Oryzias latipes: one gene and its partner. The main gene of each other region encodes a partner of the protein of the gene in region 2 in a complex. Links are inferred from orthologs where the notes say so. Each region holds a gene or a part of one and is shown on either strand. Other genes may lie near its edges.

The links. The genes of interacting proteins can lie anywhere in the genome.
Region 1: the proteins of cdk2 (region 2) and cdkn3 are in contact, whole or in part, in a crystal structure (PDB 1FQ1), measured with the Homo sapiens proteins. The link is inferred for Oryzias latipes from reciprocal best matches to the Homo sapiens genes CDK2 and CDKN3. Residues at the interface, in NP_001789.2 of Homo sapiens: Tyr15, Glu42, Thr158, Tyr159, Thr160, His161, Val163, Val164, Leu166, Leu174, Gly176, Asp206, Ser207, Glu208, Ile209, Leu212, Asp235, Lys237, Phe240; in NP_005183.2 of Homo sapiens: Phe53, Lys54, Asp55, Arg57, Tyr87, Asp110, Gly111, Tyr141, Gly142, Gly143, Leu144, Gly145, Arg146, Ser147, Arg172, Ser177, Gly178, Ile180, Gln181, Thr182, Ile183, Lys184, Tyr186, Asn187, Glu191.

What each region holds. Positions count from the first base shown.
Region 1 is NC_019880.2:1,400,493-1,403,701, forward strand, and holds the end of cdkn3 (cyclin-dependent kinase inhibitor 3), read left to right. Parts: intron 1-67; coding exon 68-290; intron 291-685; coding exon 686-717; intron 718-791; coding exon 792-895; intron 896-2,064; coding exon 2,065-2,154; 3' UTR 2,155-2,709; downstream 2,710-3,209. UniProt on the Homo sapiens protein: May play a role in cell cycle regulation. Dual specificity CC phosphatase active toward substrates containing either phosphotyrosine or phosphoserine residues. Dephosphorylates CDK2 at 'Thr-160' in a cyclin-dependent manner.
Region 2 is NC_019863.2:27,093,792-27,097,891, forward strand, and holds the start of cdk2 (cyclin-dependent kinase 2), read right to left. Parts: upstream 2,801-4,100; 5' UTR 2,482-2,800; coding exon 2,366-2,481; intron 1,782-2,365; coding exon 1,704-1,781; intron 1,607-1,703; coding exon 1,486-1,606; intron 1,409-1,485; coding exon 1,238-1,408; intron 978-1,237; coding exon 876-977; intron 796-875; coding exon 592-795; intron 1-591. UniProt on the Homo sapiens protein: Serine/threonine-protein kinase involved in the control of the cell cycle; essential for meiosis, but dispensable for mitosis. Phosphorylates CABLES1, CTNNB1, CDK2AP2, ERCC6, NBN, USP37, p53/TP53, NPM1, CDK7, RB1, BRCA2, MYC, NPAT, EZH2.

The DNA.
Region 1 (3,209 bases), on a different chromosome or scaffold from region 2:
TTCCTAAAAGACCTTCGGTTGATCTTCTCTGTGCTCTGACCCTCCTCCACCTCCTCCTCCTCCTCAGAGGAGCTTCACAACCAGGGGGTGCAGGATGTGCTTGTTTTCTGCACCAGAGGGGAGCTCAGCAGGTACCGAGTCCCCACCCTGCTGGAGGCGTACGAGCGGCGAGGCCTCACGGTGCAGCACTGGCCCATCCCCGACGGAGAGGCGCCGGAGCTGGAGCAGTGCTGCCGGATCCTGGACGAGCTGCAGCGCCACCTGGAGGGCGGCAGGAAGACGCTGATCCAGTGAGTCTTCGTGCTACAATCGATGAAAACGCTGCGACGTCTGAGTGTGTAGCTCAGCAAAGCTCCACTCAGATCTGTTTCCTGAACGTTTTCTTTAGAAATTCAATTTTCCAAATCTTTTAGGATTTTTGACCCTCAGCTGCTTTTGCTCGTCTTCAGTCCAGACTTATTCTCTCAGACTAATTCCTTCTTTCTCCAATGTTTAGTGTTTTTAAAAAGTATTTTTTATTTGTAGCTAAAGTAGAATTGAACAATGTACAGAAATGAGGCGCAAATTCAGACTTTTCCACAGTTTTCCAGTTTTCTTCATGAATTCTGCCGTTTAAATCCAGTTTTGGCTCCAGATCAGAAACTGGTTTGAACCTCGGATGACCTCAGCCGTTCTTCTGTTCCAGCTGCTTTGGAGGTCTGGGACGATCCGCTCTGAGTGAGAAGCCAAACTTTGTGTTTTGAAGTCCGGACGCCTCCTCCTCCTCCTTCACGCTGTCCTCTCCTCCTCAGTCGCAGCTTGTTTGCTGCTTCAGCTCTCCGTTACCATGACGGCGAGCGACGCCATCAAGCTCCTCAGGGAGCTGCGAGGAAGAGGAGCCATCCAGACCGTGAAGGTGAGGACGCTCCTCTTCTGTCTGCAGGAAACTAAGAAAATGACCTTAAATACATTTATTCATGCAGAAATAAATAAAACAATAAATCGTTTGTGTCCAGCTTTTTACCTAAAGTGAAGCAAAAGATTAATTAGTTTAACCAAAAAAAATGTCAACACTTTTTTGTAGTTTAAAGTTTAGAAACATAAAGAATATGAACATCTAAAGGATTTAGAAATGCGTCAAATCTGACTATTTTAGCTAAAGATGAGGCTTCAAAGCATCAACGGCAGGAACTAAAAGCTGCTTCTTAGTTTAAAAAGTACTACACTTTATTTTATTAAACATACTACTGCAGTCCATCTAATTGTAGGAAGTAGACAAAGTGAATACTCTTTTTAGACTAAATGAGGACATTTTACAATATAATGATAAAAAAGGAGGATTTTATTTTATTTTATTTATCCCACAATGGGAAATTCGTTTCCGCATTTGACCCATCCCTCCACTGGGGGAGCGGTGAGCTGCAGCCGATTATTATTATTCAAGTACACTGCCTCCCGTTTAGTGGACACTAAGTAAACGTGAAATGTAGAGTCGGATATCATCAGCATAGAAGAGAATCAAACTGTTGGAAAAGTCGAAGGTTGTGTCCCAATTCCTTTACCATGTAGCGCCTTCGCCACTTTATAGGGATGTCTGAATCTACAATTCCAAAATGCAGAGCCCTAGAAGTTTCCCAGAAGTCTCTGCGAAAAACCAGTGAGCACTGATGCTCACTAGCCCTTGTGCTATCCTATGGGGTCCAGATGACCCGATCCTTACATTGACATGTTCCCCCTACCATGACAAAGGTGGATAAAGGTGGAAAGATTTCATGTAATCCATGGACACCAGTGAAGATCACAAATCATTGAAGAAAAAAGGTTCAGAGCACTGTCTAGTGGGTCTAGATGACCCAACTCCCAATGTTAAAGTGCTAATGGTCATCTTGACCCCATAGGATAGTACAATGGTTAAAGCTCCAAAAACAAAGATTAGAAAAACCTTTCCTGTCCTGTTCCTTCAGACAACAGCGCCCCCTTGATGCGTCTGATAGAACTTCAGGACTTTTCCAAATGGTTTTCAGTCTTTGATTCTGGGAATGAAGGAATAGAATCCTGATTTTTATTCCTTTTTTTCTTCTGCAGCAGTACAACTTTCTCCACGAGTTTCGAGAGAAGTTGGCGGCGCGCGGGGAGAGCGGAGACGCTTCCACGGAGCGCCCGGTGTCCCGCTGATCCAGGACGTCTCCTGCCATTCCTCACAAGTCCTTTCCTCTCTGAGTTGCACTTTAAATCAAATCCTTTAATATATTTTCTCTTAAAATCAATGATGGAAAAAAGTTTTTTTCCGGTTTCATTTTTCTCGTTTTCTTCTTCTGCAGCTTTCAGCTTAACCGTCTGCTTTCGTCTTTTCTTTCTTCTGCAGGTCAAACACAAAACTCTTTTTTTACATTTGTGTCATTTAACCCTTGTCCTATACTATGACCCCCCCTTCCATTGACGTGTTCTCCCTACCATGACAAAGGTGGATAAAGGTGGAAAGATTTCATGTAATCCATGGACACCAGTGAAGATCACAAATCATTGAAGAAAAAAGGTTCAGAGCACTGTCTAGTGGGTCTAGATGACCCAATGTTAAAGTGCCTAGGATAGCACAAGGGTTACGCCGGTTTTCTGTCTTCATTTCGACTGAAAATGTGAACTTTTTCTCTCAGACGTCGTGTGTTCATGTGTGAAACCCAGACCTCAGAGTGAAAACATGATTAGATTGAAATAAATGTTTTAATGCGACACGGGGAAATGAATCTACATGACAGAAATGACAAACAGTGAAAGTCTGGCCACACCCACAAATGACATCATTGGAGTGTTCGGGGCAGAAACACAATCCTCTAAATTAAAAACTAGGAATAAATAGGAGGAAATGTTTGAAATCCAAAGGTCAAAGTTAAACTCGACCTTTGTCTGCAGACGTAATCCAATAATCTGGAGTCACAGATTACATGATGAGTAAACAAACGTCTCTGTCCACGTGCCCCCCCCCCCGTCAGAAATACCAGCTGAGTCTTCGGCGGCAACGAATCAGCTCGCCGTCCTGATGACGGATGAAAAACTTTATTTAAATCTCAAGCGGATCAAAAACAACCAATAAAAAAGTGTGTGTGTGTGGGGGGGTCCATTCAGATGTCTTCCATGAGCGGTTCTGCAGAACCGTGAGGAGCAGACGTGTCGGTGAAGAGCCAGAATGTTTCAGGGGGTGACGGCCTGCGCCGAGTCCAGGTCATCGCCGA
Region 2 (4,100 bases):
TTCACACGTTTTTTGCACTGTTTTAATATCATCTTTACCTTACTTTTGTATTTATTTTTTCATTTATTTTGTACGCCTTTGGATCGTTGTAATAAAACATAAAAACTGTTTGTTCTCAAATTTTTTTAGTTACCGGTAATACAAATTAGTAAATTTAAAACCTGAAATTGAGTTTTTGTAAAGTTTCATTGTGAAATTATTGGGATATAATTAAAAATATTCTGCTAAAAAAAAAGAGAGACAGAGAGAAGCCGCGGTTGTACTAAAAAACAAATGTCAAGCATTACCACAAAAACTATTTTAAAGATAAATTATTAGAGAAAAATGGAAAGTAGGAAAAAAAGCTGAAAGGGCACCATCCTAGAAAGGCAAACAAAAAATTTGAAAAGGTTTTTTCAAGTCAATATTTCTGAGCTGCGTTTAAAATATTGTTTTTTTTTTTTCAGTAGACAGAAAAAGTTATAATTTGCATAAGAGAATTTGTCATCCTTTCTAAACTCTACACATAAAAACAATTACTCTTAATTAACGCGTTTGCAGATATTTAACAGGAAAAGAGTAAAACATGTAGCAATCAGAAGAAAATCTCACTCCGAGCAACTCTCTTCCATCTTCGTCTAGAAGCGGAACCACTTTGGATAAATCCTGACGAGCCCATTTGGGGAAGGAGGGCTTGTAGTCGGGCATGGATGTGACTCCGGGCCACGCCGTTTCGTCAGGTGTGCCCAGCGTGCGAAAGATCCTGAATAACTGATCGATCTCAGAGTCTCCGGGAAACAAAGCCCTCCTGGTGATCTGTGAACACAGACCATCAGTTTATTATCAGCGTGCTCCTAATTCTTTATTGAAGTTGGTCTTGGGGTCGAGCGCGTTACCATTTCAGCGAAGATGCACCCCAAACTCCAGACATCGACAGCTGTGGAGTAGTATTTGCAGCCGAGGAGGATTTCTGGGGCTCTGTACCAAAGTGTTACCACCTGAAAGATACCACAAAGAATCAAGAACGACTCTAATGTTTTATTATGTGAACCTGATACAAGACAAGAAAAGGTCTGAATCAGATTTTGAAAGAGCAAAGCTAAGAAAATACATATTTTGGGATTTTATCCTTTAAAATAAACATTTTCTCACTATCCAGCACTAAAAATCCCTGAACCACATTAGAAAAACAAAATCAGCTGTTATCAGATCGATTCGTACCTTGTTACAGATGAAGAAAGGGAGGAGCACACTGTACCTCATGAGTGTAGGTGCGGACCGGCACTCCAAAAGCTCTCGCCAGACCGAAGTCTGCCAGTTTGATCTCACCCTGGGCGTTGATGAGGAGGTTTTGGGGCTTCAGGTCCCGATGAAGAACTCTGTGAGAGTGGCAGAAAGCCAGGCCTTGCAGCAACTGGAAGAGATAACTCTAGAAACACAAGACAGTAAGAACAAGGAATCAGGTCTGGACAGTTTCAGGATCTTCTCTTTAAAGAGGACGCTCACCTTCACCAAAGCCAGCGGGATGCCAGTCACAGAGGAAGAGTCCATGAATTTTTTGAGGTCCTGATGGAGGAACTCAAAAACCAGATAGAGTTTGTTTTCTGTGTGAATCACATCCTGCAACCTGGACAAAAAAAAAAAGTTGGTTTAAAACATAAAATCACACAAAATGGGATTCTTTTGAACAAAATAAACATATTTCTGCATGGTTAAACACTTACTTGACAATATTTGGATGACTGAGTTCTTTAAGAAGTGAAATTTCTCGAATCGCTGTGCTTGGTACGCCCTCTGTTTCTCTGGATTAAAGAAATCACAAATTTAAGGATCAGCGGAGATTGTTTTATGAAGTTAAATGCTTCCTTTGTCCCATTGATAAATTGAATACAATTTTCCTAGTTATTGCACAATAATTCATTTTGATTAAGAATCATTTTAAATTAAAGCAATTTGTTGTGTTTATGATGCTTTTCCAAAACTTTATGGACAAATGCACATGAATTTGTAATCATCACTTTTGATCAATTTATTGACTAATTGTGTTTAGTGTTCCATTACCCCCAAAGGCAAATAGAGATGAATAAAACAGATGGTGAATAGATTTTAAATGTAACTGAGTAGGTTTAATTTGACAGTGAAACCAACCAAACAAGAGCTGAATGCTTTTATTTTGTAACATGTCAGTTTTGTTTCAACTTTGTATTATTATTTACTTTTATTTTTTAGGTCTTTGTACATAGAGTGAATTTAAAATGTTTTGTCTTTTCTGTAATTAATGAAACTGTTTCATGAGGGGACTGGAATTAAGCATTTGAGATAATCTGAATCACAACAAACGCTTCTCAGAGGTTTCAACCAGCAGGAAGAAGAACTTTTCACTTACGTATCCAGTCGGATTTTCTTCAGCGCAACCGTTTCTCCGGTCAGTTTGTTTTTAGCTTTGTAAACCACTCCATACGTCCCTTCTCCGATCTTTTCCACTTTCTGAAACGTATCCATTTCCCACCAGAATCGGACCGGACCTCTTTCTTTGTTTCGGAGCTAACGTCTTCTCGGAGGCTACAAGCATTAAGCAGCGCGGGGACCGACCTACAATTACCCGCTTCTCCGGGTTTCGTCATGCGGTCCAGGCTACAACCAAACCAAGGGGTCCCGTTCGAGGACAAACTCTCTCCGGTCAGAGAGCGGCACACAAAAACGGACAGGTGAACATCTGTCAGGTAGTAACACTAACCCCTAAATTGAGGATTAGCCCGGTGGTTGCTCCGCGGTGGAAAACAACACAACGGCGTTTCCCGCGTTGTGTTGCGGGCGTTCGTTTTTGTGCTCGAGACACACCGTACCGTTCAGAGCAGAAGCAATTTATTATTTTCCCTTTTCTTGAATTTAGCAGTAATTAAAGTCAGTCCTGATATATGGCACTGGTGAAGGTAGACCGCTATGTTTATTGTATTTAATCCAATGATTTTATTGCGAACTGGTGTAATTGGAGAAATGAGTTCCTCGTCTTCCGGCGTATAACGGAATAATAAACAAGCCGCACTCTTTGGTCACATGGTCTACGGCGTAAAGGAACCAGAAAGCTACGTAAAAGCGGTTAAATATGAAGGGAAAAAAGTTTAACGCCCACAAATAATGTGTATTTTTGGAACATTTTTTTTTATCAATGTATACATTTTCATAAATGCATTTATATTCCAATTTAACCATCAGTTAAAAAACAAAAATCAAAGACGGAGATTATTTTTTTTTAATTTTAATAACTTTATTGACAAACATTGCACATACAGAATTTCACACCAAGTGCAAATTATTGAAGTTGCCATGAGGTTGAATAACAAAAAAATAATAATAATAATAATAATAAAATGAAATAAATAATAATAAAATAAACAAAATAAAAAAAATAAACACATAATTCAATAAATGAATCAACAAAAGTAATAATACATAAAAGTTTTTTAAAAAAAGCATAAACAGTCAAAATAAAAATAAAAAGACTTCAAAGTTTCAATTGAGACAAAACCTTTTTAAGTGTTTTATTAGTTTCTTTGTTAGTGCAGCATTTCCTTGTCAAACACATTCACACTGTTTTTTGTTAGTGAGATAAAACTGAAATCCCAAAAGATTATAACCACTCCTGACAACTTTTTGGCAAAAAAGTAGTACACTTGTACACCTAAAGTTTACTTCTTAAGTATACCTAAGTATAATTACAGCAAATGTACGCCTACTATACTCCATGTACATGCAGTACAGGAAGTATACTAACAGAATACTTCTCAGAATAAATTATTACATTTTATGTCTTCAATATATAGTGTATAAAAAGTAAACTTAAAGTATAGACTCCAATGGACTATCTTTGCCACAGGATAAGAAAAGTATGTTAGAAAATATTATTAATTTTCTACTTTTGTAAACCAAATTTTACACTAACAAAAAGAAAAAAAAGTTTTTCCTTTGTTCAACTTTTCTATTTGTATTCATTGTAATATATATATATATAAATATATATATATATATATGTATTTGAAGAGATCGAAATTGAAATATCATTGTCAAGTAATCACTTTTATGTTGGTATAAATTATTGAATTACATAAGTAGCCCTCTGC